4 linked regions of the Xenopus tropicalis genome follow. The protein of the gene in region 1 interacts with the protein of each later gene in a pairwise test. Links are inferred from orthologs where the notes say so. Each region holds a gene or a part of one and is shown in the gene's direction. Other genes may lie near its edges.

What was found.
Region 2: the proteins of pcbd1 (region 1) and hnf1b interact in binary tests that used the Homo sapiens proteins (3 or more experiments, as listed by UniProt). The link is inferred for Xenopus tropicalis from reciprocal best matches to the Homo sapiens genes PCBD1 and HNF1B.
Region 3: the proteins of pcbd1 (region 1) and hnf1a interact in binary tests that used the Homo sapiens proteins (3 or more experiments, as listed by UniProt). The link is inferred for Xenopus tropicalis from reciprocal best matches to the Homo sapiens genes PCBD1 and HNF1A.
Region 4: the proteins of pcbd1 (region 1) and wdyhv1 interact in binary tests that used the Homo sapiens proteins (3 or more experiments, as listed by UniProt). The two-hybrid records come from large-scale screens. The link is inferred for Xenopus tropicalis from reciprocal best matches to the Homo sapiens genes PCBD1 and NTAQ1.

Annotation. Positions count from the first base shown.
Region 1 is NC_030683.2:47,451,092-47,459,665, forward strand, and holds the start of pcbd1 (pterin-4-alpha-carbinolamine dehydratase), read left to right. Parts: upstream 1-3,719; 5' UTR 3,720-3,785; coding exon 3,786-3,788; intron 3,789-8,574. UniProt on the Homo sapiens protein: Involved in tetrahydrobiopterin biosynthesis. Seems to both prevent the formation of 7-pterins and accelerate the formation of quinonoid-BH2. Coactivator for HNF1A-dependent transcription.
Region 2 is NC_030678.2:74,716,016-74,724,717, reverse strand, and holds the start of hnf1b (hepatocyte nuclear factor 1-beta), read left to right. Parts: upstream 1-4,167; 5' UTR 4,168-4,492; coding exon 4,493-4,833; intron 4,834-8,702. UniProt on the Homo sapiens protein: Transcription factor that binds to the inverted palindrome 5'-GTTAATNATTAAC-3'. Binds to the FPC element in the cAMP regulatory unit of the PLAU gene. Transcriptional activity is increased by coactivator PCBD1.
Region 3 is NC_030677.2:151,970,547-151,979,149, forward strand, and holds the start of hnf1a (hepatocyte nuclear factor 1-alpha), read left to right. Parts: upstream 1-3,785; 5' UTR 3,786-3,908; coding exon 3,909-4,228; intron 4,229-8,603. UniProt on the Homo sapiens protein: Transcriptional activator that regulates the tissue specific expression of multiple genes, especially in pancreatic islet cells and in liver. Binds to the inverted palindrome 5'-GTTAATNATTAAC-3'.
Region 4 is NC_030682.2:139,835,908-139,842,952, forward strand, and holds the end of wdyhv1 (protein N-terminal glutamine amidohydrolase), read left to right. Parts: intron 1-3,198; coding exon 3,199-3,308; 3' UTR 3,309-4,567; downstream 4,568-7,045. UniProt on the Homo sapiens protein: Mediates the side-chain deamidation of N-terminal glutamine residues to glutamate, an important step in N-end rule pathway of protein degradation.

The DNA of each region.
Region 1 (8,574 bases):
CAAGTATCACTTTTATCATTCATTTTAATGCACATATTGCCATCATTCCATCACAAATGTACTGTTTTTTTTCCTTTTTATTCATTCTCTAATCTTGTTACTTTGCAAGATTGAGATTTCTTTGTCCTGTTCTTGTTGAGAGGCCATATTTCACTAAAATCACATTTGAAAAAGATTTGCTATCCATTTTTTCTGTACTTAAGACAATAAAACATATTGGGCATATTGGGAGCAGATCCGCTCATTTGGCGACCTCGCAAAATGAGCAGATCTTATGTGTATGTTATGTGTGCTATACACCTAATCAATGGCCACCAAAGTTTATCCACTATTACTTAATCCTTCTTATTGATAGACACGGTATGTACAATCCTATACATACCTTACACCTGCATTTGTTAAGGGCCGTAGCCCATGGGGAGTTTAGTCACCCGAAGGTAAATCTTGGGTACTGTAGGTGACAAATCTCTGTGAAATTCTTTCTCATCAGCAATAAAGTGAATCCTGCACCCATTCATAAGCAGGTTGGTTATCAAAAATAAACAAAAAGATCGATGGGGTGCCAGCTATTTCCCCACCGTAGGTTGCACTGCACTTGCAAATGTAAATGGCCCTATTGTGTATGTACTCATATGTTCACTCTTGCCAGAGTTGGGTGTTTGCAAGAGAAAGTCATAAAAAGATGAGAATAAAATAAACTTTAGCAAATTCTAATTACAGTACTTACACTATACACTAGGTGGCACCAGAGATTAAAAAAGCATGCCTGGTTTCTTGCATATATTTTTTTCTTTGCCTGTTTTTGAATAGATGTCCTGAAATCTAGAGACCGGAATTATTTGTTGATGTGGCAGTAGGATTGTCGCCTCATCCGAAAAAAATACAAGCTTTAGTATGTTGTAATCCTTTTATTGGTATTAAGGATCATTTTTACCGATCAGGCTCAGGGGCACTAATGCATAAGGCAAGTTGAGAGACTTGTCCAAGATGGCAGCGCCCCCAGGATTGGCAAAAAGGCTGCTCCTATTAACTTTAAGCAAAAATTAAGTTTTCTCCAGATCTGCACTAGTAATATGCCCCCCACCGGAAGCCCTCTGCCACAAGAAAATATACACGATTGGGGGCAGTATCACAGGATCTTCCTCAGGGTAGCTCTGGGGGCAGAAATGCCCCTGATCAGGCTGGTAAAGTACCGTCCAGGTAGAAACCCTTTTTAGGAGTAATGTATAAGGATCATGCAACATGTTACAAATTTGTTTACATTTTGTCTGTGGAAAGTTTCACAAAAAACATGGTGGCTTCCCGATGCCCCTCTTTTCTGCTACTGAATTAGTGAATGTACATTACAGATGTTCTGGACTAGTACAGGTATAGGATTTATTATCCAGAATGCTTGGTAGTGAACCTAAGTTTTTTTAGATAAGGGATCTTTTCGTAATTTGGATCACAATATCTTGAGTCTGCTAAACATTTAAACATTAAATAAACCCAATAGGATGATTATGCCACCAATACGGATTCATGCAGCTTAGTTATCATCAGGTACTGTTTTTTTGTTATTATAGAGAAAAAGGAAATATTTGTAAAAATGTATTTATGGATAATAGGTTTCCAGATAAGGGATCCCATAACTGTAGAAGATACTCTGCGATATGTACACATCTTAGCTCAGTCACAATATTTTAACCCAAGTAATCGGCAGCAGGCTAGGCCAGTTCATTGGAAGGGTTTCTTAATGTGCTGCACCCCTGAACCTGAAGTGCTGACATTCAGAACATAAAGCTTGAATTTTCTTTATCCACCCACATTAATCTCCTACCCTAATCTTGCCCATTGCAAAGATGACATTTTCTCACAGTGGGGATCCTAATACACACAGGATGGGTTGCCATCCATTTATGTATGAACAGTGAAGAGAACATAGGTAGGAAAAACATGGCAACCCTACTAGGTGGCTATTTGGCATGGTAAAGGTGTGTGCCACTAACACTCTCTGGAGCTGATCTATGCAACAGAAAAGAAATAATAAGATTGCACTGAGTTCATCTAAAAGGGCAATACAGTTTTGACCTATAAATATATTGATTAAATGCAGAAAGGTCTTCAGCATAATGAATAGCTGTGCAAGGCTACAGGTAATTGTTCCCCCAGAGGCCAGCAAAGCATAAGTGTAACATGGAAAGAAAGCCACGCAGAGAAGGGTGCAAATATAAGAACACCATAAGGTACCATGAACACCTTGGCAAGGTATTCTGCTAATCAATACACAGTATTTGAAATTGAAGCTTTTACTTTTCAACCCTCAGTTATTAATGCTGAGTGTCAGGGTCAAACTAGGCTGGTGGAAATCTCAGTGGGCCCCGTCCCTCATGGAGCCCAGCTACCCCACGCACGCTTCATGCCCTGGATCTGTAAGGCAAGGGTATTGGTTTGTGGCGAGCGCTAGAAGAGATATGTGGTTGGGGGAGAGTTTAGAATTGGGGTGGGGGCCTTCATGGCTTGGATTGCTGGCCCCTAGTGGGCCCCAAACTGTAAAGTGTTGTTAACATCCATACACCCATGTACCTCAATACACCTTGTAGATTTTCAGCATTATAATGGCACATGCTCTGTTTTAAGCCACAAAAAAAAAGCCCTGGTTTAAGTGTTTTTATAGAGTGGTGAGAACTGTTTTGAGAAATGAACTACATAAAGCTGAAGTATAAAACGCCATAATCTGCTGAATGGTTCCAGTCACAGATTATGCTGAATGAGTAATCCCACCAATGCAGGGGTGGATAAATTATTCCTTTGACTCTGGGCTGTACCCCAGCTCTGCCCCTTATCCACCCCCGCCCAGCCCTCTTCTTTAATTGTGGCAGGGGTGCCCGAGATGAAGGTCCCTGGGTGGCTGTCTGTATATGGCTGGATTGTCCAAATGTGAATCAGCCACTGCACCAGCTTGTAGAGCTCCGAGTGGACTTCATGCATAAACTTACATTATTATGTCACAGGGAGTTTATGCCAGAGGAGGGGTAAAAAATGTTACATGCACACCAACTGATCACATCACATTTGGGAGGAGTTCACCTTTAAATTAATTTTAGTATATCATAGCGTTTAACCAACTTTTCACCTGGTCTTCATTATTTTTTTTTTTAAATCTTCTAGCTCTGCTTATTTCCAAAATAACAAACGGTGTACATGGGTTCAGTTTTATTGCTTTTTATATTTTTGAATTGTTTTTCTTATTCATCTTCCATTCCACTAAACTTCTGCCTGGTTGCTAGAGTAGTCAAGCCCTAGCAACCAGATAGCAATTGATTACAAGCCAAAGAGCTACAGAACAAAAACCATATAACTATAAATATCTGAGAAACCATATCAATTTAAAGAAAATTGCAAATTTTCTTAGTATAGAGACCTGCTAATGTCAGATACAATAATATGCAAAAGCTTTGTTTCATGTTCCGGCTCTTGTTGCTCTGTTTCTTTTCTTGTTTTTTTTTACTTTATTTTTAAAGTTAATATCACATTACTTTCATACAGTCAAATCAAAAATCCCCCAGGAATATCTGTAACTGATGGGGCTAGTCAGTAGTTCTAAAAAAGAAACATGTCGCCTATGTGTGTAAGGGCAACGCTGAATCACCTTCCCTGCCTCAGTGAGGTCACAGCCCCACGTGTTTGCATTGGGCGGACCCTTCAGCCACGCCCCCTGCCCGTCTCTTAGCTGGAGAAGCAACAGCTGAGCTGATTGTGCTGGGGAGACTGAGACTGCAGATCCACTAGTTGCTTTTGGAGACATGGTAAGGTGATGCTCAAATCCAATTATTAGATGAATATTGCAGCAAATGGAAAAATAAGTCGGCTGCTGTAATTATTGAAAGGAAAAACAACACAGCAGAGGAGGCAAAGTGCGTTAGTTAATGAGTAGCTATGGGAGCAATGTAGCATGATAAGCCAAGGGAAATGAACTTTGCTATATATTCTCTTGCTAGAGTATCTATTGGAACCTGTAGCACTAAATATGAATATTTTCACTCTATGTGCTTATGGCTTCTCAAAAATGAGTTATGGTTGTGGTTTTGTTATTGATGTGTAGCACAGTTAAGGTAAAGGACTTATTTGTGAATGAATTGGCCACTGCAGTAGGTCGGTGTGATGCCCTTGTTACTGATAATGCTGTAGCCCAAAAATGCCCTTTTTGCAGGCTTCTAATTAATATAATCCACTGTGTCTTTGAAGATGCTGGAAGGTGTAGTTTAATGTATGTTTAGTGCCTGTTAAGAACTACAATTCCCAGCATTCTGCACCAGCTTTAGAAGTGCATTGGTATCAGCTGTATTTCTCAATATCTGGAGGGCAATAGATATGACAGAACCTATTTAAGTAAATAACAAGTTATTTCACTGTGTGTGTTTTGTACAGTCCATAGTAGACTCCATAGATTGTGTGCAAGAGCTTTGTCCATAGCAGAGTATTGCCTAATAGAGGAATAAACCTAATTTAAAACATGAGTGGCACATCTGGAGTCATTTTTCTGAAAGGATAGTTGAAAGGGAGCAAAAATGAAAAACACATGTCAGTCACATAGGAAAGGTTATCCTACTGCTCGTTTGTGTTTATGTAAGCTTTATCCTGTGTGTATGTTCATTTTAACAATCCGCCCACAATAACAAGTCATTAAAGGGGATCTAAACCCACCAAAACCGATGCATAATGAAAATGTAATTAGAAGCAACTTTCCAATGTGCATTAAGATGCCCAACGATTTTAATAGATTTATAAATGTAATTGCTATTTAAAACAATATTCGTTTATCCTTGTTGTTTTCTGACATTTTAGCAGATATCTGTTCTTGTCTCCTTAATCAGTGTGCATCTGCTGCATTGCTTTAGGAGTCAGAACCAGTGGTGAAGAAAATATAAGAAGACAGACAGGAACTGCTTTTAATAAAGCATATGACTGATACATACAAAAGGGGTTTCTTAAAGGAACAGTAACACCAAAAAAATTAAAGAGTTTTAAAGTAAATGAAATATAATGTACTGTTGCCCTGCACTGGTAAAAGTTGTGTGTTTGCTACAGTAACACTACTATAGTTTATATAAATAAGCTGCTGTGTAGCCCCGAGGGCAGCCATTCAAGCTGGAAAAAAGGAGAAAAGGCACAGGTTACATAGCAGATAATGGATGCTTTCTGTAGAATACAATAGTGTTTTATCTGTTATCTGCTAAGTGCCTGTGCCATTTCTCCTTTGAATGGCTGCCCCCATGGCTACACAGCTGCATTCTTTATATAAACTATAGTAGTGTTTCTGAGGCAAACACACCAGTTGTACCAATGCAGGGCAGCAGTAAATTATATTGTAATTACTTTTATACACTTGAATTTTTGGTGTTACTGTTCCTTTAAGGCTTTTTCCTAGGTTATCTCTTTCTGTTGAGGATAGGCTCCTTGTATGCTTCCTCCCATGGCCAAATAATCAGTTCATATGGTTTACAGCACTGCCTCTATACTAATGACACTTAGGGGCTCATTAATCAAAGTATGATAGCTTTTGAATAAAAAAAAAAAATCTTATTTTTTTTTAAGTTAATTTGTGTGACTTTTTCTTACTTTGCGAGAAAAAGTGCAACAGCTTGTGCGGCAAAATCATATTTGTCGCTCCGAGTACAAAAGTTTTGGATTCATTCAAGCTTCGGTATCGTGACTTTCCTTGGGCCAGGTTGGAGCTGCAGAGTGCCATTGAGTTCTATGGGAGACTTTCCTTGGGCCAGGTTGGAGCTGCAGAGTGCCATTGAGCCCTATGGGAGACTTTTCTTGGGTAAGGTTGGAGCTGCAGAGTGCCATTGAGCCCTATGGGAGACTTTCCTTGGGCCAGGTTGGAGCTGCAGAGTGCCATTGAGCCCTATGGGAGACTTTCCTTGGGCCGGGTTGGAGCTGCAGAGTGCCATTGAGCCCTATGGGAGACTTTCCTTGGGCCAGGTTGGAGCTGCAGAGTGCCATTGAGTCCTATGGGAGACTTTCCTTGGGCCAGGTTGGAGCTGCAGAGTGCCATTGAGCCCTATGGGAGACTTTCCTTGGGCCGGGTTGGAGCTGCAGAGTGCCATTGAGTCCTATGGGAGACTTTCCTTGGGCCAGGTTGGAGCTGCAGAGTGCCATTGAGCCCTATGGGAGACTTGCCTTGGGCCAGGTTGGAGCTGCAGAGTGCCATTGAGCCCTATGGGAGACTTTCCTTGGGACGGGTTGGAGCTGCAGAGTGCCATTGAGCCCTATGGGAGACTTTCCTTGGGCCAGGTTGGAGCTGCAGAGTGCCATTGAGTCCTATGAGAGGCTTCCAAAATCATGCACGATCAAAGTCAGAAAGGTTTTCCCGCTGTTTACGATCGTTCGTATACGAAAATTTCAGGACTTTTGGATCACCAATCCGATATTATCGTGACTAATATGATTTCTCCTAATTATTCTGTTATGTCACATATTGACAACATTTCACTACCAGTCTGTAACTACCTCGCAACATTTGTCTCCTATGATTGTTCACATATAAATTTATTTTTATTCTCACATAGGCTACTGGCAAATGGAGTGGTTGTTGTGCAGGGGAGAAACTCTAAAAGTGCCCCTGCTGGCACCCATTCCTTAGATAGAAAGCACCTAAAAACGCCAGTGCAGTAAATTTCTATCCAGAAGACAAGCATTTGGATGTTTTCAGGCCAATAACTGTTTGTGCTATATGTTTTGTACCGGTTTCCATTAATGGAGAACTAAACAAGTAGACTAGAAATGTTGTACATTATCTCTGCTAAAACACACTTGGAGACAATTAACAGTATTGTCTATTTTGTAGTCAGGGCAAGTAGCTGGCTTCAAGTAGCTCCATGTGTTAAAGTAATTGAAATATAATGTACTGTGGCCCTGCACTGGTGAAACTGGGATGTTTGCTTCAGGAACACTACTATAGTTTATATAAATAAGCTGCTGTGTAGCCATGGGGGCAGCCATTCAAGCTGGAAAAAAGGAGAAAAGGCACAGGTTACATAGCAGATAACAGATAAGACACCATTGTATTCTACAGGGTTTATCTGTTAGCTGCTATATAACCTGTGCCTTTTCTTCTTTTGAATGGCTGCCCCCATGGCTACACACCAGGGTTTATATAAACTCTAGTAATGTTTCTGAAGCAAACACACAATTTTTACCAGTGCAGGGCAGCAGTACATTATAGTTTCATTTCTTTAAAATATATACATTTTTTTCTTATTATTATTCTTAGTGCCCCCCATTTTCCAAATGCTACTTCTCCTACAGTTTTAGGGGTACAACACCCAAACTCCCCACACATCTTCGCCCTATAGCAGAGCAGGTTGCTTTTGCTTTTCTAAGCGATCCCCCCCCCCCCCGTCTTTTTGTGGCGCCGCTCCGAACACCCCAATTTTCTCTGACTTTGACAGGGAAGATTTTCAAACTGCTACCACTCTTACAGCTACACTCCCCAAACTTGATTAACATAATAATGGGGTCACCCCGAATGAAACCGCGACATTTGTTGGATGACCCCAAAGTGGGAGGGGCCAACAACAGCCACTCAAATTTCACCCATTGACTTTTATGGGGAAATTGAAACTGCTGCCAATCTTACAGCTTTGAGGCTACACTCCCCAAACTTGAATCACACAGTCATGGGGTCAGCCTGAATGAAAATATGATGGTTGTTGGATGCCCAAACGTGGGCGGAGCTGTGAACAGCCAATCAGATTTTACCTATTGACTTGGTGGAAATCCAACCTGCTGCCATTCTCACAGTAATAACACCGGGGCCCCAAACTTTGCAGAGTTAGGCACAAGGAAAGAAAAAGTGGGTGGAGCCACCAACAGCCAACCAGATTTTACCTATTGACTTTCAATAGGGAAATTCAACCTGCTGCCATTCCCACAGTATTAACCCCAGGGTCCCCAAACTTTTCACAGTTGGTCACTAGGGGACTGCAGCTTTAGTTTTGAAAAAAAAATGGGCGGAGCCACCAACAGCCAATCAGATTTCACCTATTGAATTTTATTGGTTTGATGCCAGGGTACCCAAACTTTGCACAGTCAGTCACTGCGTGACTACGTAGTCAAAGTTAGGAAAAATGGGCGGGGCCGCCAAAAGCATATCTTTCAATGTTTTCAGTGGGGAAATTTTAACTGCTGCCATTCTCACATGCTTAATGTCAGGGTCCCCAAACTTTGCACAGTTTGTCACTGGGTGACTATGTTCCAAGTTTAGAAAAGTGGGCGGGGCCAACAACAGCCAATCCGATTTCACCTATAGACTTCATGTGTTTAAATTTAAACTGCTGCCATTCTTTAAATATTAAAACTAAGGTCTCCAAACTTTGCAGAGCTAGTCACCAGGTAACTGCGGTTCAGAGTTTGGAAAAGTGGGTGGAGCCACCAGCAGCCAATCAGATTTTAACTATTGGTTTTCAATGGGGAAATTCAACCTGATGCCATTTTCACAGTATTAACACCAGGGCCATTAGGGGACTGCATTTTTAGGTGTTAAAAAGTGGGTGGAGCCACCAACAGCCAATCAGACTTCACCTA
Region 2 (8,702 bases), on another chromosome or scaffold:
GGCCCCAGGGCCCAATAGGTTTCTAATTGTGGCTCTAATGCTGGGGCCCTGGTCTTGCAAGTGAATTCTTCAACAATATACTAACCATATGCTTCTAAATCACTGGATGCCTTGCCATTTCAGATACTCAAAGACATTGGGCAGTGTTAATAAATAGGCAAAAGATCATTTTGCCAGTAGCCCACCTGGAGTAGGAATAAAGTTCAGTGTTTTACAATTATAGACAGACTGATATGACCCCTTGTTTCTGCTACTTTAGCTGCGTATACAAATTTTAGAAACTAATGTGCATGCACTGGGGGAAGTTGGCAGGGGTGCTTCTTGCCTCATGTGCCATTTTACCAGTAACAGCACCCACTGGTAAACTGTACCAGTTTAATTTACCAGACATTCTGCTTTTTCAGTGTAGGAGAGTGATGTGTTTGTACTTGCCTTAGGCATTATAAAGCCAAGAAGCATGCCTGGGTATAGGAAAAATCTAGACCTTCAGTGTTCCAACTCCTCCTAAACCTGCTGCCTTAGGCACTGGCCCTGGAATGTCAGTATTGCAAATATGATACTGACCAGGGCAATTAAGTGTTAGCACTTATATTGTAGTGTCACCCATTGTGACCTACAGCACTTACATTTGCCCATTTGTGTCTGTTAGTTACCCCTCCCATATAGATTGTAAGCTCTACGGGGCAGGGACCTCCTTCCTCTTGTTTCTGACTCTTATTGCAACTGTACCTTGTATTTGTATTTATTGTTGTACTTTGTATTTATCCATTATCTTTAACCCCCTGTTTGTATTAATGTATTCTACTGTACAGCGCTGCGTACATAAGTAGCGCTTTATAAATAAAGATATACATACACACATACATTATACCATATGAATAAAGCTAAGAGAGTAGAACAGGTTGTGCCTCTCTGCATTGCCCTATTTTACCCAGTGGGGGCAGCGTTACCCACCCATAAGTGCCCCGGGCCAGGCCGTAATTACAGGCGGCGCTGTTTGAACACATCTTAGCGAAGACTTAAATAAAAAAAACTGACTGCCAGCGATATACTGGACATCATTTAGTTATAAATTGCCAGTTTAAATATAGCAGCCCTAGTTTATTAATACATCCAGGTGTTGGGAAGCAGACAAACCTTCCCGCCCACAAGCCATAAATCCCTAACACTTAGGGAAACAATAAGTATCAATGATACAAGTGGAGTCACCAAGTGCAAACTTCTCCCCCGCCCTCCCCACAGTCCCAGTAGCTCTGCTCCCCCTGCGGTACAAAGAATCTCGGTGGCAAGAGCTGTCGCTGCCCCTGGCACAGGTGGCCCTGCTAGGACATTGGGCTGCGAGGGGTGGCTTGGGAGACTGCTTGCCCTGCAACGTCGCACAGGGGGAATAGGAACCTCAGCGAAAGTCGCACCGCTGCCTGTGTGAGATATTACTGGGAAAGCCGAATAGAGGGTGAAGGCAGAACAGTAGTGGGAATCAGGGTAGAAACTAGGTACTGCACCCAATGGGGAGGCAACAAGTGGCTGCGCATATAATATTTATATACCTATTGATATAACCCTCACCGCGCAGGAAACGCAAATATTGATAACCACCAGGTTTGGTAGTGCAGCATGGGAAGCCCTGAGTTCACCTGGGATCATTAACTCCTTGTAACCTCTGCAGTCCCCTTTGAAATACACGTAACAATTTATACTGCATCTAAACATATTTCCCCAGCCCTTGTAGATCGCCGATTTTATTTAAAACTGCTTGCTAACAGTGAATTTGATATTTTTGTTAATTGCTAATTTGTGAATTCTGTTGTAAGTAGATCAGTCGCTCTGTTCTACAACATTGTAGCAATTAATGCAGGGGTTTCTAGTCATTTTATAGACTAACGTAAAATGTATCAACATGATTAAATGCATCAAATGTGAAAATATTTAGTCACCTCATAAGAGGTATGAATTCTAGAACACTCGGCTCACCCCAAACAATTGTTTGTTTTCTGTTGTTTTGCATATAAGTCCATCTTTTAGTTTGGAAGTAAATCATCAGAATTTATCTTGTCAAAGTCAAGATTGCCTGTTTGGATAAAATGTTATTAGCTTGGAATAAATGAATACAGACAGTGTTCGTTTATCCTTTCTATCTCATTAACACGTGTGTCATTTGAGCAGATAAATATTTCTAATCCTAACAATCAGACTGCTGTACACACAATGCACCCAGTGACTGACTTAGGACCTGCTCACAATGACACTGCTTACTTGTAGCCAGGGGATTGTTTCAACAGTCTGTTCTAGCTTGGGTCCGGATAACAGCATTATCCATAAACTGATCAAATGAGGTGGTCTGCAGCTCAGACAACCCGGCATTCTATCTGTTTTTGCGACTCTGCTGCGATCGAGGGGTTTATAAATTTTTATTTGGTTTAACAAGGATTTTTTTTTAAGTTACAAATACTGCTTAATAAAACACAATTGAATTATATATGACCAGAGTCTCTTTTTGTACTGTATTGTTTTTTATTTTAACTATTTCCGTCCCTTCAGTAATTTGAAACTGTTGTACACTTTACAGTAATCCCTTGCCGATGACAACCTGTAAGAAAAACATCTATGCAAAATGTTTGGATAAATTATACAATTAATCGTTTTGACTAGTTTTAACTGAGTACCATTAGCCAACGGTTTATATCCATGCACTTGTATAAGTACTGGACTGTTATGTCACTTTATACATTTATTTTTCATGAAATCACATATTTAAAAATGCTATGAGGTTGTTTCCTTTGCCTTGCTATTTCTGTTTAACAACTACAATTGTGAATTATTATTTTTTGATTACTCCCTATTCACTAAAATTGGGGACTTAATTACTTCCAAAAGTGATATTATCACTTTGCTAAACTTAAAAAAACGTGGTTTCGTTAAAAGGGGGCAAGTTATTGTACACTGCCATATATACAGCTAAATGCGCTTCTGTGCAGTAGTGGCTTTATATTGTTAGCTCATTGTTTTTAAACAAAAACACATTTTCTTACATTCTAACTTTCTGTACCGACATTGGATTATTTCACCCACATGCCATTTTAAATTACAGTGCTTTTAGTGCCAATATGAGCTATTAGCACTGGAAAAAAGGTCAATAAATACTGTACATTTTTCTTTCTAAAATAGTATTTACACATTTGTAAGAAACATTTAAATTCCATCTTAAAATTAGGAAATATTGACCTCTAGTGAACGTGTCCCTTATCTCAATCACTCCCTTCTCAATACTATTAAAGAATCAAATTACTGAAGGGGTAAACAATGGGTTTCAAAATGGGATGAAACCTGTGTGCAGAAAGCTATGTTTAAAGGATAGCTAAAATCTTAGCCATAATGCAGTGATACAGGTGCCAAGACATGATCTGACTGTCTTTCCAAAGTACCAGAGTATCTCCCATTGTGCCACAGCCAAGGACAATACCCATCGGCCCTTTAATATTTGCGCCATAACCTATATAATGCCAATAACCTTAGGTTTAGCTATATGTAATTAACCAGGTTCTCTGGTTGACCATAGGAGATCCATTTCACACTGTTCCCAGCACAGCAGTGAAAAATAAGCAGCCAATACTGTGCATTTTTTTGTTTCTCCTTTAAATATGAGATAATATTCCAAAACACCAACAGAATTTACTCAGTTTTACTAATTAAAATGTATATTTGTATATACTAAAAAGTTTCCAGGCCAATCACTGCAATTAGTTTTTCTTAAAGATCTGTCACTTTTTTTGTACAACTGATCTTTTTAAACTATTTTGATGTTTCTTTGTCTAAATCATATATGTATGAATAAGCGTTTATATTTGCTGTGGGTTATTATATGTGTATAACAGTGCATATATGTATTTGTGTTTCTGGGTATGTGTAATTTTAATATGTGTTTGTGTATATAGATGTGAATGTGTTTATAAGTATGCGGGTAGGATTGTATTGCTTGCATAAGTCTGTGTGTATAAATGTCAATGCGTGTAACTGCATGTAAGTTTCTGTGTGTGTGTAAATGTGAATATATGTGTGACTGTATGTGTGAGTGTCTGAATGTTTCAGTGTGTTTATATGTGTGAGAGTTTTTATGATTTTCGTTCTCTCTCTCTCTCTCTCTCTATTTTAATTGCACTTCATGGCTTCTTGCTTAACAGGTCCAAAGTTCACTTAAAGTTTGGCCGATAAACAAAACCAATAAAAGACTTTGTAGTCGAAGCATAACCAGGGAGAATCGAGCCCAGCCTCCTCCTTTCATTGCATCCTGTATGTTGTGTTAGCCTTCCCACTGATTTGCATGAGTTATATTGCCCATTGAAGGAGATCATGGCCAGTTAGACTGAGCAGACTCTCAGCAGTGAGATTCTCTGTAAGCACAAGAGGAACAGGTGCTCTGGGACAAGGGGATTCCAGATCCCTTGATTTTATTTTTTCCTCCCCTATCCCTTTTCCTTATTTTCTTTCATCTAAAATGGTATCCAAGCTATCGCCTTTGCAGCAGGAACTCCTCAATGCTCTCCTCAACTCTGGAGTAACCAAAGAGGACCTGATCCAGGCCTTGGAAGACATGATCCCCAGCCCAAGCTTTGGGGTGAAGCTGGAAAACTTGCACATGTCCCCGGAACATGAGGCTGACAGTAAGCCTGTATTCCACACTCTCACCAATGGGCACCACCACAAGGGCAAGCTCTCCGGGGATGAGGGCTCAGAGGATGGAGATGACTTTGATACCCCTCCAATCCTAAAAGAACTGCAGTCCCTCAATACGGAGGAGGCAGCAGAGCAAAGGGCAGAAGTGGACAGGATGTTGAGGTAAGAGCCCAGGGACAGCCGTATTATATTTTAATCATATTTAGCATTTCTAAACCAGGACTCGTTTTGAAAGCACAGTTTTGTTTCTAGGAGTTTAAACACACGATTTACTTGTGCTATTGATGATCATATTGACAACCCCAGCATAAATGTGTGTCTCTCTATAAATATCGATCTATTTAGCTAATTTCTCATCACAGCGCTAGCATCCCTTTGTTGTGTTGTATAGTGAAATTGTAATTTTAATGGCGCTTAGGATACTGACCAAGATGTCCAAATATATCTATAGGTTAGATATAAACGTAATTTTTGGTACTAAAAAAATGATTGTATGTCAAATGCGTATAAAAAAGCCAGACATTAATGTGGCTTTTGATAAACAAGATTTCGTTCAACACAATTTTACCAAGTGCACGATTTTTAAAGTTAGAAATGTTTTTAACATATAACAGCATTTCTCTAATTTTTGGAACAAGCGTTTTTTGGTGTAGGTACCACATCACTGTCAGAAGTTAAAGGCAACCGCCAGATCTCCTAATCTGACAGCCTAGTTACTAATTATCCAAATAGTTTATTATTCCTTCTCTTCAGCAAAATATCAACGAAATACAACCACGTTATTTATTATTAACTACTGGTAGTAACTTAAAATGCTAATACTATATCGGCAGGCCTGATTAAGTTGTGTACTTTCCCAGAGGTAAGTTAGCTTCGCTCCCATGGGGTTTACAACTAAATATATGTCTAATGTACCTGTATGGCATTGTTCTGTAAATATATTGTAGGTATAATTGCACATATGCCTTTATTGTATAATTCGAATTTTGAAAATGGTATATGTAAGTTTCTATTTTTATAAATTGTTACTATTAGTTTTGCAACAAAACGAGACAATATTAAAACATCAACATCGAACACTATCAATATTATTGGAGTGGTACGAAGGCCTTGGAAACTTCGGCAACTTTAGAAATGTTTTAAATTTATATTTTCTTGTACTGTAATTTAGTATAGGAACATGAATAATATATATATTTAAAGATAATATTAATACACCCATTTACTATTATCTGTATTACGTTACATTTTATTAAATTACACAAAAATCTACATGCAATACATTGACCTCTAAACTGCAACAGTGTTTTAATTTACGGTTGTTTATCCGTTGTGTATCTGTAGGTATCTTTAGATGTAACGTAATTTAAAGCAATATGTGCAGGTTATTTTGCTGGAGAGAATACATTATAAACTGAAGCACGTGGTGTCCGGTTATTAATTTATTTCTATAAATCATCAACAGAAAGATACACAAAGGATTGGGGTTTGGTTGAATAGAGACGCTGGTTATTCATTGGCAAGTGCTAGAAGGGAAAGCTCTTGGGGCAGACTGCGCTGGGTGACAGCATCAACATTATATACGATTTATTGGCCTTTGCTCGTATTTATTCCGATGTCTGGTTACAGGCAGAGTCTAGCCTTTGCCACTCTCATAAACAAGGTATCTCTTATTTTAAAGTGGATCATTCTGTGTGCTTTTACATATTATTTGTGGAATGTTACTGAATGGCTACTGCAGGTTTCATAGAATTGGAATTTCCGTTTCCGTTTTAGTTGGTACCTGTATCAAGGGGTCGATAAAAACTATCCTGTTATAAAGTAACTCGGAGCTGGCAAGCTGCTTATTCACCAAAACTACTCGATACACAAAGGAAGCAATGACCGAAATCAGTTATTTCTTTATGTGTTTGACCGTGAGTCCTGAATAGACAGAGGACACACCTTGGGGGTCACTCATGAATCAGTCGTGCGTTGCTATTAATATAGAGCTTGGCAACGATCAAACGATCTCTCTGGAAAACCCCTCAGATTTTCAGTCTGATCGCTTATTAGCAGGCGACTACAGTATCTCAGTTTTATTCTTAATGGAGAATGGCCACCTTTAGCCATTCAGATACTGCAGCTGCAACGTGTCTTCTTAGCTTCTCAGGTGGCGCGACTGTAGTTGTAGTGCAACTGCATGACACGCACGCTTGCATTAAACTAAGGAAAGCAATGATAGGTTTATGTTTTGTTGTTTCACTATAACTCGTGTGCACTGCTCACATACAGTAAGGTTCTTCTATAGCTGATTCTCCTTGTGTCCTCTCTGCATAGCTATTGTGAAATAAGGAGACTTACTACCCTAATATAGCGCCATATAGCTAGTTGTAGTCTTTGTATAGTCCTACACAGGTAAGTGCTCGGGCTTTGGGTCTTTGCTTTCTGTTTGATTGTTGCCGACTGTTTGCAGAGGCTTTTTTTCTGGCAGCTGAGAAAGGACTCATGTTGTATATTTTGCAGGTGTGTGTGTGTGTGTGTGCCAGCTGCCCGTGTGTGCTTTAGCCATATGCTCACCTTTCTACACACTCAAGTTAGATCTCTAAACTCCTGCCTAGTCCCACAGTCTAAACAAATATACACCTACTGCGCAGAAATACTTTCCTGCAGTCAGTCTGATTCTGTTCCATGATTATAAGTCAAATGGACATTGGGCCATGCATGTAGTGTATGAGTGCATTCTCCTTAGATAACTTCCCAAGCAGGACAGCAGGAAAAAGAAGGAGCATATTTTTCTAAATTAAATACCTTCTGCCCCCATAAAGCTGTAAGTCTACCTATATCTCTATGGATTAAGAAAAAGAGGTTAATACATTTACTTAGTTTGTGGGAAAGGTACCTTAAGCTGAAAGCACCACTGGGACTAATAGGAATAAACAATCTCTGTTAAATGTATGTATGTAAAAATTCTGAGTAACATGTTGGTCCTACATGAATAAAAGGATAATTCAACTTCTAGCAGTTAACTTTCTTTTCTCTGCTTATGTTGAATAACTACTCCAAATTCTACAAAATTGAGTCCTCCAAGGAAGGTTATATGTTTTGTTTAGTGCTACTGACGTGAGCAGGAAATAATTTCATAGTTGGTAAGTGGAATAATTATACACTTTCAGAACTAACTTTTTTAATAGTATAAACATCTTGGACAGCTTTTCTGATTAATTTCCAATCAATTTCCATTAGCAGAGAAGTGAGGTGTTAGGACCACTGTTTAATGATACTGTGCAGTCCAGACTAAATTTGCCAGAGCAGGTGCTAACTGGCCTTCGGATTATATTATATATTATATTTTAATGTAAATTCTGCAATTCTTCAGACTGAAGAATTGCAGAATTTGCATTAAAATACATATACAACTTTCATAAAAGTAAGCAACCTGTCAGGATTATTAGCAGCATGGAAAAGTTAGGAAAACTATAATGCAAATGGCTGCAGCTTGCACCTGTTTGTTCCATAAGGCTATATTTATTAGGACTAGAACTTATTGATAAGTCAAGTGAATGATTCTTTATGAAACATATAATCCGAAGGCCAGTTAGCATGTTCATGCATAAGAAGTTTGGAGGAAATTTCCTCCACATTCATTGATAAATAAACCCTATTTATGAACATAGCTGCTAAACTACACAAGTAGCAACCAAGCAGAGCTTTGCTTTAATTTTTTAGCTTGTAGTAGACTGTTTAAAACTAATTGCTGATTGGTTGCTCTTGGCAACTGCATTTGTGCAGTTTAGCACTTATGTTTGTAAATCAGCTCTTTGTCTGCTGCCACACTTCCTCTTTGTGTGCAGATGTGAACCATTCACAATCACACCCTCTATGACATACTGAAAGAATTGCCTCAAAATAGATTTGGCTAATTAATTAACATTATCATTTCTCCTTGCAAGCTGTTTTTGTTTTTAACAACCACATTCATACTTGCTTTTGTTGGGTGGTGTTAGTAATGTGTTGAGTGCAATTCTAAAATGCTAATTGTATTTTTGTGG
Region 3 (8,603 bases), on another chromosome or scaffold:
ACTTTCCTTGGGCCAGGTTGGAGCTGCAGAGTGCCATTGAGTCCTATGGGAGACTTTCCTTGGGCCGGGTTGGAGCTGCAGAGTGCCATTGAGCCCTATGGGAGACTTTCCTTGGGCCGGGTTGGAGCTGCAGAGTGCCATTGAGCCCTATGGGAGGCTTTCCTTGGGCCAGGTTGGAGCTGCAGAGTGCCATTGAGCCCTATGGGAGGTTTTCCTTGGGCCAGGTTGGAGCTGCAGAGTGCCATTGAGCCCTATGGGAGGTTTTCCTTGGGCCAGGTTGGAGCTGCAGAGTGCCATTGAGCCCTATGGGAGGTTTTCCTTGGGCCAGGTTGGAGCTGCAGAGTGCCATTGAGCCCTATGGGAGACTTTCCTTGGGCCAGGTTGGAGCTGCAGAGTGCCATTGAGCCCTATGGGAGGCTTTCCTTGGGCCAGGTTGGAGCTGCAGAGTGCCATTGAGCCCTATGGGAGACTTTCCTTGGGCCAGGTTGGAGCTGCAGAGTGCCATTGAGCCCTATGGGAGACTTTCCTTGGGCCGAGTTGGAGCTGCAGAGTGCCATTGAGCCCTATGGGAGACTTTCCTTGGGCCGGGTTGGAGCTGCAGAATGCCATTGAGCCCTATGGGAGACTTTCCTTGGGCCAGGTTGGAGCTGCAGAGTGCCATTGAGTCCTATGGGAGACTTTCCTTGGGCCAGGTTGGAGCTGCAGAGTGCCACTGAGTCCTATGGGAGGCTTCCAAAATCATGCACTGAAGGTTCAAACTCAGAAAGGTTTTTCCGCCGTTTAAGATCGTTCGGATACAAAACTTTTCAATACCAAAATTTCGGATCGTAAGTACGAAATCTTAGTATTCAAACAAATGGAATATTCGGGACATTTGCAATCATCAGAAATTATCAGATTTCGTGATTCAGATTCGTACTTTAATGAATGTGCCCCTTAAAGTGTATTTTGCCTTCACACTGTATGATGCAGAAATGTGTAAAGGGAATTTTTTTTATTTGGAATAATAATAATAATTGAAAATGGTAGTTTATGCCTTTGGCAAACACACCTAAACACAGGCCAAAAGTCATGCATGTAATGTTTAACCTTTAAAGAGATGTTCATTATAGACACTACAGTGCTGACACGACAATGTGTAAATTCTGTGTTACCTGACTACATGTAACCCTATGGAAATCACGGTATCAGCTTCAGCTACTTTGCTAGCACTTGAAGGGTTAAATTAAAATATAAAGTAAAACTGGATTTATGGGGCAAACAAAGATGCTTATTAATACTGACTAGAGAATAGAAAAAATTGTAGGATGCATGAGGCACATACCCATGTACAGATTGCACTCACCAGTTTCTTTCGAAGATATAGCACCAATCTGCACCCCCTGACTTATACATAGACTGTTGTTTTTAGGAGAAGATGGGTTATTGCTGTTTTATGTTTATATTGTGAGCAGATATTTAAAAACTGAAAACGCATCAAGAGAAAACTATTTTTTCTGTTGTGTTCCATTGCTGACAACCAGGGTTGGACTGGGGGGTGAAGGGCCCACCGGGGCTCCTGTTCCAGAGGCCCTGCAGGTGCCCCCAGCCAGGCGCATCCCCTAACCCCCCCCGCAGGGGCCCCCCTAACCCACCTCGTAGGGCCCCCCACCCGACGTCCTCCTCCAAACGCATAAATTTGACGCATCAGGGGAGGAGTGGTCGGGAGGGGTAGCACCAGCTAGGGTCGGGTCTGCTGACAACAGGAAAAATCTGAATAAATCTATGTCTCAACTCTGTGCAACTGCGTACAAACCAGGCACAAATGTACGGAAATCCAGTTTTGTCATGCGAGTGACGTCTGTGCCATATTCTTTAGGCGCAAGTGTGCTGCACCTTTTAACACTGTATGCAAAGGAGCCTTGAAACTAATGTCTGGTCAGAAGCTTCAGGGTTTCTCTGTGTCAATAGGTGCAGCAGCAGCAGTTGGAACAGAAGGCAGAAAGGAATTGTGTTGAGGAGTGGCTCTGAGCACAATTATACAGAAGTGGAAGGAGCACAATTTGATGCAAGTACCTTTAATAAAAGTGGTTTTACATGCAACTAACTGCTGGCAAAATATGGGGACCACAACTGCACTTGCAAGTGTTACACATATCCTATGCTATCCTATGGTGTAATCCAGGCATTTGTCCCTATTACCCCCAAGAGCTGGTGGGCCTCAGGCTGCTCTCATAATTTTCAATTTTGTTTTTCATTTTACAGTGACCCTTGTTGTGATGATGCCATCTAGAGATCTTGGTAGTGACAGCTGAAGCCGCAACTACACAATAAAGTGCTTAGACTTTTTATTTACTTAACACTATCCCTGCCAGGACACCCAGCAGTAGCAGCAAGCAGCAAGCACAGCATGCTACATTTAAACAAAGTGGCTGTGCTTATGCAAGGTGTGAAAAGATTAGTTGTTTTCCATGACGGAAGTGTTTTTTTGAGACAAGTTCATTCCTGGGTGTTGTGGTGCATAGCAGCACATGTACAATATGCCACATGCCTCTTCCCCTGCAGTAGCTTGCTGACTGACCAGGGCACCCAGAAGTCATTGCCAGCTGACGATTTGTAGCAGTAGTTCTCTACTGTATATCTTTAAGTTAAAAATCCACCATTTGTAAGATTGAGGAGATGCAGTACAAGCAGTGTCGGACTGGGGGGTGCAGGGCCCACACACAAGGTACCCCGCGTCCCCTGCACCCCCTGCCACCCGCCAGACATCCTTTCCTGAACGCGAGTAAGTGAAACGTGTCAGGTGAGGACATCGGTGGCCGGGAGAGTGGTAACAGGGATCGGGTCTGACCCAGTCCGATCCTGAGTACAGGAGGAGAGAAATACCATTCTGCTACATTGTATTTTTCACTCTGGCGAGTAATACACTTAAATATTTTAAATCCACAAATGTGGATTCCACATGTGCTTTTATTATATATGAACAGAATACCTGTAAGGTCAGAAAAGCGATGTACCTCCAGTATACTGTAAATCAATAAGACACCGTTGTTATTGTCTCTATGACTTCCCTTGTTAACAGAACTATCTAACTGGGGAAGAGATTAAATTCCTAACTAAAATTATTTTAACCCTTTTAGTGTGTGGATAATCACACATTAATGTTAGAATTACAGTTGTATAATGCCTTTAATTAAACCATTAGGTTAAAAAAAAACAAAACAAAACATAAATAGACCAATATTTAAAAACATCAGGTAGGGTTTTATTAAATAAATTAAAGTAGTCACTTTCCTTCTCTCCTTGGTGCCTTCCTCCCAGTGTCTTTCTTTCGAGTTCCCCTTGCGATATTTTTCTCTATGCATTTATTTATTGTATTTGATAAATGTGTGTTTTTTCAACTTCAACTACTAGGTTACTATGTATGTGTATTCTCCATGTAAGTTCTTTCAGGTTTCAGCCACTCACAGCTTTTTTTCTCGTCTCTGTTGCATTGTCCTTTACCTGGTGGTTTGTGCCACTTTCACCTTCTCATTCTCTTACTTTTACCATATTTCCTAATATTTCTCTCTTAAACTTTTGGAATTTCCTTCTCTCTTCTACCCCTCCTCATATTCCTCTGCACTCCCCCCTCTCTAACTCGTGCACTTTGTGCAGAGTTGGGGTCCAAAGTTCAGTAACTTGCAAAGCACAGGGATAAATATGAACCTTGGAGGATTTACTCTGCTCTGATGTAAACAGAGAGTGACAGGGGTCCCTTATCTATGTCTCAGAGAAGCCTGTCCGGGGGGTGACCACTTGCTGGTTGTGGCTGTACAGTGTGTTTTTTGGGGGGAGGAGGAAACAGAAGGTGGGTAGAGCATGGACTCCCGCCCGCTGATCCGTGTTAGAGCCGCAGGATGGTGAGGCAGTAGAAGGCAACAGCGAGGATGGCGTCTCAGCTCAGTTACCTGCAGCGAGAGCTTCTTCGGGCTCTGTTAGAGTCTGGGGTGACAAAGGAGGCTCTGAAAAAAGCATTGGCTGATGGTGAAGATTACACATATCCCAATGTCCCTTTGGATGATATTAGAAACCTGGACGAGGGAGAGAACTGTGTGCAACTACCTAATGGGTTAGGGGATCCTCAGATATCAGAAGATGAAAGTTCTGATGATGGTGGGGACTTCACACCACCCATTATGAAAGAGTTAGAGAGGCTGAGCCCTGAAGAGGCTGCTCATCAGAAGGCCGTGGTGGAACGTCTACTGCAGTAAGACCTATGTGCCTCTTATGCCTTCTCTATATCACCTAGTCCTACACTTGATATCCTTGGTTCTCTGTCTTGTAATCTTTCACACTATTTTTCACTCCACCTTCCCTTTTTCTATCCATATTCCCAAATCTACACCCACTGTACCAACACTCACCTAAACAAAGCTCATTTCCCATAGAAGTTTATGTATTCCCTCCAAATTGGATGAAAAAAGTCGAAATCTTAAATGCCCCATTGGGATGACTGCAGTTCATAAAGGGGCATACCTATATCTTCAGTTGGAAAATTGGGTAGGAATCCCTGGTGAAACAAGTTTAACACAGACCAATCAATTTCTCCACCAAATCCCTCTAATATTCTCTTGCCAGCTGGGATGAAAGACAGTAAAAGAGACATTTCTTCTTCTCTACCTCAGGCATTGTTTGGTCCATTTTTACAATATTTAGCAATTTTGTTTATCTTGAAATAAGCCCATTGATATTTTCATGGCTTCTTTTATCTACTGCATTTATGTTTTGCTGGATAAAAAATCCAAATCCAGGGTATTGATCCTTAAGTAGTGTAAACATTATTTGCTTTTTAAGGTTCCTTTTTGCTTGCTCTTCTGGTATTGTCCATTTCTTAATGTTATCCCGTTCTTCCACTCTTTAGGGTGCTGTAAGTTCAGTTCCCTGTCTTCAGGTAGTGTGGGTTCTGCCGATCACTTGGGCTCAGGGGGCCCGCACTGGTTACTAATTACCCACATCCTCTATAATTTAAACATTTATAAACCAAATGGCCTCTACCTTTTGTGATGATTAACTTCTAATGGTTAACCCATCCGCTGCAATTATAGAATGTGCTGTACAGCAGGCCCATCAACCATGATAAATTCCATGTCTTGTTACTTTCCACTCCCAATATGCAGCCTAGAGGTTTGGAAACAACTGTAATTGCAATGTATTCTCTTCAGAGGTTTTGTATTAGGACATGCCTTGTCCCGGAAGAAATATTCAGACATGACCTTCTAATGTGCCCATTTTTCTCCTTTTCTTTCCAGACTTCTTTCAAATTCAGCATAGTTCAAAGTTTACATTTTCCTTTTAATGCTTTGCTTTGTAGCCATTGTTCTCTAGCACCATCCAGTCTGACAACTAGCCATGAGCCAGGCAAGGCATCTGTCTGTTTTGGGTCTCCTAGGATGAAAATCATTTCATATGGACTTTTCATTTAAATTGGTTGAGGTGCTATAAATTATCAACCAGCTTCTTGTTTCCTCTGAGTTGATAACTAACTAACTGGGTTACTTATTGTTCACGGAACAAAAGGGAGGTGAAACCGCCCTTAGAAATAACCTCTAAGGATGAGGCGAGGAAACGAGGGGCATCAGATTAAGAAAACATAAAAAATGTAGGGCACCATTGTTCCAACTAGGGTGAATTCTTATAAGACATTTCAGACTGAATAATTCTCATGCACTTTTATTAATTAACAAATGTCTTTTTATTTAAGATACCAGATAATTTTAGGATATACCAAATGTGTCATTGGTTTAACAAGGAGGCCTAGTCAAAGTTAACAAGTGCTGATTCACATTTAATCATAAACTGCCTGCTCGTTCTAATAACATGTTTGTGTAAAGCAATACACTTTTCGCCATGAACCCCTTGATTTTCAACTGGTCCATTTGGTGTTCCCTCCCCCAGGGTTTGTATGAAGCAGTCATTATTTGTTTATGAGTTGGACTTTGTACTGAGATAAGCTGGTATCGGCAACAGAGTGAATCAGCACCTGCTGTGGGGGTTGGGGACTGTGTTTTGTATGAAGGTTTGTGTGTCCATTAGATCCATTATAGTTTCTTATTCTTGCTCAGAATGTTGCACTGATCTAAACATCATGCTGGGCCAAATCTTGATCAGGGGGGTTCAATGATCATCCTGTGGACCCACTGAGACCTGGCTACATCAATGTGCCATTCCAGTCCTTGTCTGACAGGCTTTGCAAACCTTCCTAACTTTTGGTCAGATATCGGTTAGGCAGGCCTTCCCGAAGGCCTCATACACAGACTAATAAGCTGCCAACTTGGACAACATCTACTTAAAGGAGACCTGTAACCCTTAGAAATAATTAAAAACCCTCTTTTATTACTCTTGTATTCTTGTTTCCTTCAGTCTTAGAATTCACAATAAAGAGCAAGCAGGCAGGAGCCATTTTGTGGATACTTATTAACGCAAGCTTTGCATCATTCAAAAATCTGCTGTATGCACTGGAATATGGACTTGATGCACATACACAGCCTGCATAATTACATTATAGTGAGTAGGGGATGTGAGCAGTACAATGATGTCTTAAGTGCATGTTTATGACTGGGTGACAGGTCGCCTTTAAAAAATGCAGTTAAATCACAGGTCCTCATTTACCAGCAGTGGGCAAAAGGAAAATTAGATTAATTTGATATCTTTTTATTTCCAGAAGTACCATTGGGAAAGTTTGCACCTGTTTGTAAATCAAGCACAAATTGCGTTTACAATTTAGGTGGATATAGGTGTTATGATCATGTGCTCTTTCATGCCATTTGCATGCTTATCAGTTTGAGCAAAAGAAATAGCTTGTGCAAAATATACAGTGAACCCTACTTTTAAAAGATAGCAAGGGCAGTGTACCTTCTGTTACAATAAGTGCTAAGGCACAGTAGTAGTAAATGGGCACCTAGAGGTTTGCTTTGAGTAAACAAGACTCCCCCGGGTATTTATTATTCTGTAGGGGAAAAAAACCTCTCTGTCAAACTATAAATTACATTGCTGCAGTTTTGCTATTATTTTCTTTATTGTGCCATATCCAAAAAAGACAATGGCACTGTCACTGGTAAGGTAGGGTATATAGTTAAGCATGAAGACATACAGAGCTACTAGTAACAGCTACTTTTAGTGGCTACAGAAACAGACAATCCTAATCATTTACTAATAATTGTCTATAAGTGTGTTTTAGCAGAGGCGATTTTCAGTATTGTCTATAGCAAGGTATTTAGTAGCCATGACAAGTAGCTCCTACTAAGTAGCTCTGTGTGTCCTAAAATAGGCAGTATAAACACCTGTGCCTACATATAAACTTTATACAACTATATGCATCAAATGCAGGTTCTGCGTTAAAAATGCATAATTTATTTGCCATTTCCTTACTTCATGATAAGATAAATGCATCAGACCTGAACCATTATATATATATATATATATATATATATATATATATATATATATATATATATATATATATATATATATATATATATATATATATATATATATATATATATATATAAAGCAAGACAGTGAGCCGCACACACAGGGACTTAGTTAGAAAACAAAAAATTTTTATTAATGAAAAAAATCCAACGTTTCGAGCACCAACTGTGCTCTTCCTCAGGGGTTTTTCCCTGAGGAAGAGCACGGTGCTCGAAACGTTGGATTTTTTTCATTAATAAAAATTTTTTGTTTTCTAACTAAGTCCCTGTGTGTGCGGCTCACTGTCTTGCTTTATACATGTTTTTTGCAAGCACCCGGGGCAGTTGATTACTATTAGGGTGTGCTCTGTTTTTCTCTGTATATATATATATATATATATATATATATATATATATAAATATAAATATATATATATATAAATATATATATATATATATATATATATATATATATCTTCCCAGTAATTTGTAACATTCCACATTACCTTTCATCTCTACCAAAATGTTTACTTTTCTTCTCTCTAATACACTCCCAAACCTCTATCTCTCTATCCATATAATGGATCTCCATTGCTCTTCTCTCCTTACAGTATATAAAATGTAACTGCTGTACTTCCTTTCTCCATGATACAATTTTATTAAATCAGCTTCTCTCTCCAGCCTCTGGAGTCTATATCTAGGCCTCACCTATTTCAAGAACTACACCAAAATTAGAATTAGGGAATTTCTAAAGAAATACTATTTTTATATACAATATGCATAGATTCTGTGCAGACAAAAGGTTCTAGCCAGAATAACTTGAATGTGCACATTTATGAGGCTGGGCAAGTGACAGAGGTGTTGTATTTTAAATCCTCTCATCTGTTTTTTGTCTTCCCAAAAGATCAAATTACTTGCTTGCGCCCACTTTAACACTTGTTCAGACCACACAGCAATCACTTCAACAGCATGACATGGGCCATAGATAATGAATACCGGCTGGTAGTACAAATACAGGACTCAAATAATATAATGTCTGGGGCTAAGGAACAGAGCTGTCTCATTTAGGTTTAGGGAGCCTGTTGAGGTCAAGGCTGTATTGCATTTTCTACATCTTATTACCTCTGCTGTTAAACCTCTGCTTTCCATGCAGTTTAAACTGGTCACATGCAA
Region 4 (7,045 bases), on another chromosome or scaffold:
TCATTCCTTTTTGGTGCTAACACTCTAAGGACCCTACCATGCTTACTATCATAAGGTGTTAGATGTAATTAACCTCTGTCTTAACTATATTTTAAAGTCACTGACAACGGAGAAAATAGCCACAGTCCCCAATTTATGGTAGTTGAGTTTGAAAATAGACACATCCATCAAGTTCAACCTTTTTCCCAGCTAAATGCTAACTTTTAGATGATTCAGAAGAAGGCAAAATGAACTTATTTGAGTTAGTCTCCAGTTTGCCACATAAAGAGAAAAAAACCTTTATAGCTTCTAACGGGCAATTAGGCCTATCCCTGGACCAACATTGTGCTTGACTGAATAGTATTTTCTCACTAAAAGGGCATCTAATGTATCTGCCAATACACATGCTTTAGGAAGGAACTCCAATCATCCAAACCAGTGCTGTCCAACTGGTGGCCCGCGGGCGGACCCCCCTCTGTGTGGCCCCCCACCTGTCTGGCTGCTTTGATGGCTTACCTTTGTGTAAACTTAAAATAGTATCAGTACTGAGATTAACTGCTGTAATCCCCCTGTATTGTTTAAACATGTAATCCCCTGTGTTGTTCACACCTTTTAGTTTCTGCATTGTTCACCCCTTGCAGTGTTCACACCTCAGGCTCAGGCTGTAATCATCCACATTGTTCACCTGTTCACACCTCAAAAATTGTATGTAATGCCTGGACTATGCTGCCTGTGAATATGGCACACACAGACAGCATAGGGTAGGCAAAGTATGGCACATAGGCAGTATAGGGTAGGCAAAGTATGGCACATAGGCAGCATAGGGTAGGCAAAGTATGGCACATAGGCAGTATAGGGCAGGGAGGGTATGGCACACACAGACAGCATAGGGCAGGCAGAGTATGGCACATAGGCAGTATAGGGCAGGGAGGGTATGGAACACACAGACAGCATAGGGCAGGCATAGTATGGCACATAGGCAGCATAGGGCAGGGAGGGTATGGCACATAGGCAGCATAGGGCAGAGTATGGCACATAGGCAGCATAGGGCAGAGTATGGCACACACAGGTAGCTAAGGGCAGGCAGAGTATGGCACACACAGGCAGCATAGGGCAGGCCGAGTATGGCACACACAGGCAGCATAGGGCAGGCAGAGTATTATTATTATTAACATTCATTTATAAAGCACCAACATATTCCACAGAGCTGTACAATAAGTGGGTTTCATACATTGGACATACAGAGTAACATATGAACCAATAACCGATACAAGAGGTGAAGAGGACCCTGCCCAAAAGAGCTTATGGCACAAGGGAGGCAGAGTGCTGTCTGTGTGCCATACTCTGCCTGCCCTATGCTGCCTGTGAAAGGTGAACCTGGCAGGGGTTTGTTCTGGGAGTTTGTTAGTAGTTGGAAACAGCCATTAAATGGTCCCTAAGGTGTGTAATTATGTTGCTGAGGGTTGCTGTGCTATCCACAGGGGAGGAGGAGGCATATGGATTTAAGGGTGTGTCTTAATATGACATAATATAATTCTTTCATATATGAATAACTGGTGATATCCCTGGAGTGAGGACCAAACATTTGGGTTTTTGCTGCACTACCACCATTGTGATAAAATGGGTGTGGCTCGAAGTGGGTGTGGTTCAAAAAAGGGGGAGTGGCCAACACTGGCTTCAATTAGCGGCCCTCCACCATGTATGCTAGAGAAATTCCGGCCCTCGGCACCGCAGAAGTTGGACAGCACTGATCCAAACGATTACAGACACTTTATCAAGTAACTCTGCATCATTACAACTCTACCTCCTTAAGCTCCTATTCACCATTGAAAACAGTTACAACTGTCCAGCCTTTTGTTTAGAACTAAGAACTTGGATACCTCATATCAGCCTATTTGCTCTACTCTGGGCTCTTTTATTTTGAGCAATGTCTCTTTTAAAGGAACAGTAACACCAAAAAATGAAAGTGTATAAAAGTAACTAAAATATAATGTGCTGCTGCCCTGCACTGGTAAAAGTTGTGTGTTTACTTCAAAAAGTCTACTATAATTTATATAAATAAGCTGCTGTGTAGCCATGGAGGCAGCCATTCAAAGGAGAAAAGGCACAGGCACATAGCAGATAACAGAGAAAACACTATTGTATTCTACAGAGCTTATCTGTTATCTGCTATGTAACCTGTGCCTTTTCTCCTTTTTTCCAGCTTGAATGGCTGCCCCCATGGCTACACAGCAGCTTATTATATAAATTATAGTAGTGTTACTGTAGCAAACACACCAGTTTTACCAGTGCAGGGCAACAGTGCATTATATTTTTATTACTTTAAAGCTCTTTCATTTTTTGGTGTTACTGTTCCTTTAAGTATTGCAGACCAAACCGTCACTGCAGTTGCTTGATGGGACATTACCAGTTCTCTGTAAAGGGGGAGAATCACCCTCTCTTCCATGAACCCTAAGAACCTCTGTAAATTTATACTCATAAAATACGGGACAGTACGTTGCTGACCCTTTCTGCTTCTGATTGGCTTTACTTCCTACAGCTAAAGTTATTATCCACAAGTAATCTGACCTTCTCTATAAGTGACTAAAGGTCACTTCAGACAGCATATCTGCCCGTGTATGTGCCTGCCTATGGGATGACTGGCAGGCCACAAGTATCCAAACCCTATCATGTTATAATTTCCCTTTAAGAACACAGATTGGGGTATGGCCTAGCAGTTGGGTAGGTGCTTCACAACATAACAGGCATCATCAGCAAAACTGGTCTAAAAAAATCTTACTCTCCATTGGACTCCGCCACTTGGGGTTTAGCAGGGATAGCTCTCTAGGTTTTTTCAAAGCCAGCACAGAGAGTTATCAGTCAGCTGTAGCCTATACAATAAAACCCCCATTTTACATTTTAGGGAACCAGTAAAAATTGGTGTAAAAACCAGAAAATATAAAATCGGGAGAAATTAATTATATATTGGTGGGACGTACTTCCCCCAAAGTGATTGTGAATAGTATATTTTCCTTCTGCTTTTTATTTCTACTGATAATTATTAGCCGTGCCATTGTCTCTCAGGCTAGCCACCGCCTTTATTATTAATTCTCGTCACCTTCCTACAGTGTTACAATCTTAGATTAAAGTGACCTTTCAAGATACAGCATTTTAGTGTAGCACATATGTGTTCTTCCAGTTTAATTAGATTTCCATTCCCTTAATTGTTTTTCTTTCTAGAATCCACAATGAACTTGGGCGATTTTATCAGCATGAACCCTGAGGTTGGATGGGGCACAGTATATTCCTTGGCAGAGTTTACAGAACGCTTTGGTGACGCAACAGTCTGATTCACAAATCATTGAAAGGTTTTGTGAAAGCAGCAATGCCCACTGTGGCTGAGGAAGTAAGAAGCCATTGTTCTTAAAGTTTCCAGTCCACATGATTAATTCATCTCTCCGAGTGTTCCAGGAGTTGCACTTGGGTGTCAAATTCAGATAAAATGAATTTAATCCCTGTGCCTGCCGGATTAAGCAGTTCCATCTGAAAGCTCTACTTTATATACAATGTTTTTCACCAGCGCTGGCAGTAATTGGTACTTTAAGGGCAACTATACCTTCAAATATTGCAGCAATTACGGCAATACATAACGGTGGCATATTTTTTATGGTATGTTTCTGCTGGCTATAGAAAAACATAGGGGACAGTCTTGCAGAATTGTGTAGGGATATCTATTCTGCCACAGTTATACGCTGTCTCTGTGAAGCTTAGGAGGCTGTTCCTGCTGAATTGTAGGGCACTAATTGCCAGAAAAAATTCAGATACATTTCAGGCTGCCACAAGCCTTTTATCTACCTTGATTAGTGCTGTACAGCACTGCAGCAATACAACATTGACTGAAAATAGGTGTCTTGGTATGTGCTCCTTATTGGCTGAAATAATTTGGACTGGTTACTGAAATGAAGTTAATGAAGGGGAGCAACCATGACTGCATACTTTTATATAATGTCACAGCAATATTTGGGTTGTGGTCAGTCCATTTACAACTGACCATGACCCAGTAACGGTATACCGCGCTCCTGATCTGTCAGACCACATCCCGTTCTGTCCTTTCGTTTGGGATTATAATATAAATTAAGACGGCTGTAGTGAAATATTGTGGCAAGCCAGCCTGAATAGAAGATGTGGCTATAATGGGAAGAGGAAACACGAATAGCTTCAAAGTGACGCAAATAAAATCAACATATATCCTAATATCCAAGAATTTAATATCCTAACCGGAAGAAATATAGCAAAAATTGTCTAGCAGAGCTCCTGGATCTGTTTGCAAAAACAAAATTCTTGTCCCCATTCAGTCACCATGATGGCTTAGTTTATAGGGTTAATATGCAGTGACAAGGGTCAGGATTGCTCTGAATGAAACCGTATTCATTTGCCCATGTTCTTAAGAAAAGTCTGTTATACAGTAAGTGAAATAAATAAGCACAATAAAAGATGTCCTATATGAAAGTAAAAAAACACACAAGTGAAGCTCAATTTTATTGCTTTATTGATTTAGATGTATGGCGAGTACCATATGCCAAGAGAATTATACTGATTTACAAATACATATTGCCACGTTTTTATTCTTTGGGTTATTGGGTACATTTGAAGTGTAAGAAATATGGTAACTGATCTCATAGGTTTGCACAAATCTGACATTTCTCCACTTGAGGTTTGAGAAGAACAGCGGCTGCCACTTTGAGTCTTCAAAATGTTTTTGGAAGAGAAAGAGATTTTGTTGCAGCGCTTCATTGTGTAAGAGCTGGGAGACCCTGGGGATGGAGAGTAGAACCTTTTGCACAACATATTGGAAAATGGATGGAAGGCTCAGTGACAGATGGAACACTAACCAGAAATAGGGCTCAGAAAAGAATATTTTTATCATTAGATTACTGTTAAGGGTTCGTTTATGCATAACTCATTTTTATTGCCATTTTTATCAGACATCAGGATTCCCATACTACATGTTTTACACAAATCTCTGGAGCGTATTTAGCAAAACGAGAGTGAAAACATGCCCCAGATTTCTCCAAAATCCTTCAGCCCTCCATCTGAGCATATAGTCCTATAATTATCTTGGGCGCATTTTTCTGGAAATAACTGAAACAATGATTGTGCCACCTGTAAGCAGAGAGTGGCCCCTCAGTGTATGTAACTGGTGGGGCTGTAGGGGAATCATTGGTGATGGGCGTTCACTGTAGGTACCTACAGAAGCCAGAGAGGCGTTTTCTTGTCCCTAGTTAGGACTGTCTGTGGATAAATACAGGTATGGGATCTATTATCCAGAATGCTTGGGACTTGGGATTTTCCGGATAAGGGTTTTTTCCATAATCTGGATCACCGTTCACAAGTCTACTAAAAAATAATATTAACATTAAATTACCCCAATAGGATTGTTTTGCCTCCAATAAGGGGTAATTATATCTTAGTTGGGATCAAGTACAGGTACTGTTTTATTATTACAGAGAAAAGGGAGTCATTTAACCATGAAATAAACCCAATAGGGCTGTTCTGCCCCAATAAGGGGTAATTATATCTTAGTTGGGATCAAGTACAGGTACTGTTTTATTATTACAGAGAAAAGGGAATCATTTAACCATTAAATAAACCCAATAGGGCTGTTCTGCCCCCAATAAGGGGTAATTATATCTTAGTTGGGATCAAGTACAGGTACTGTTTTATTATTACAGAGAAAAGGGAATCATTTAACCATTAAATAAACCCAATAGGGCTGTTCTGCCCCCAATAAGGGGTAATTATATCTTAGTTGGGATCAAGTACAGGTACTGTTTTATTATTACAGAGAAAGTGGAATCATTTAAAAAAAAAAAAAAAATTATTTGCTGAAAATTGAATCTATTAGTACATTAATCAATGGACCTCTTTATATGAACCTGTTATTACAGAGTAACATCAGCTGTTGCACACACAAGGGGAGGCTTGTGTTCATGGGGGCCCCATATGAATAACTTGTATGGAGCCCCAAAGTTTCTGATGGCGGCACTTTATGCACCAGTATGGGGTACTTTAAGTCTCAGCTCCACATTGCCATGCTCTCCTGGTTCCCCAGCAATCTTCAGTCCTGGAGCTTGCACAGTACATACCTTGGCAAAAAAATTCTGTACATGGCATTTGCTTGCCCAGGCGGCACTGATGATGGAGAGACCAAGGTGTAAGTTCAGCTAAAGTCTTGCCTGTACTGGTCCCAGTTGGGCTGGTCACAACTTTCCTTTTTTTCTCCCATATGGAACAATTAGGTGCTGCCCATAAGGGAGAGATATGACAACAATGGAGGCAGAAACCTAAGCCATCATAGACTCGCACCAGCAGGAATATAGAAATACATAGTTGCCATTGTATGAATGGATCTAAGACCAATACAATAGCTTTCTGAAGAAGAAAAACATTCTAAATAGGTTCCCTTCCCTCTGGAAAGCTGGGCCTTGCTTGCTCTGCAGTATTGAAAGGAACTTGGAGCGATTAGGGATGGAGCGATTGGAGTGTGTCCCCTGTGAAAGGATTAATTGTGAGAAAGTTCCCTGTAAGTAACGTATTGCTAATGGGAAAAGTACTAAGGGAGAGAGTAAGTTCAATATGGCTCCTTGGTGCTTCTCTTAGGCCAACAACTTTTTTGTCACTGAATAAAGCTCAATAAACATATCTCCTACAAACATGTGTTTGGAAGGATTCAGCATTTCCATATTAACTCCAGACTGGAGTTGGCAGATTAATCTAAGGAAGATTTTATTTTTTTTTACTAGTTCAAGCCCCCCCTGTCCAACCACTGTCACAACTAACACAGCAGGGGGTGCAAGGTGAGCGTAGCCCACTGATAAGGTTACTGTACATTATCCCTTATAATACATGAGTGATACTCAGAGTTCCCTGTATAACTCAGCCTGCAGCCTTGTGCCTTTATATGGGCACAGAACCCCTCAGTGACTGCTAATATCCTTATCATTTACAGTAGGGGGTACATTATCCCTTATAATACATGAGTGATACTCAGAGTTCCCTGTATAACTCAGCCTGCAGCCTTGTGCCT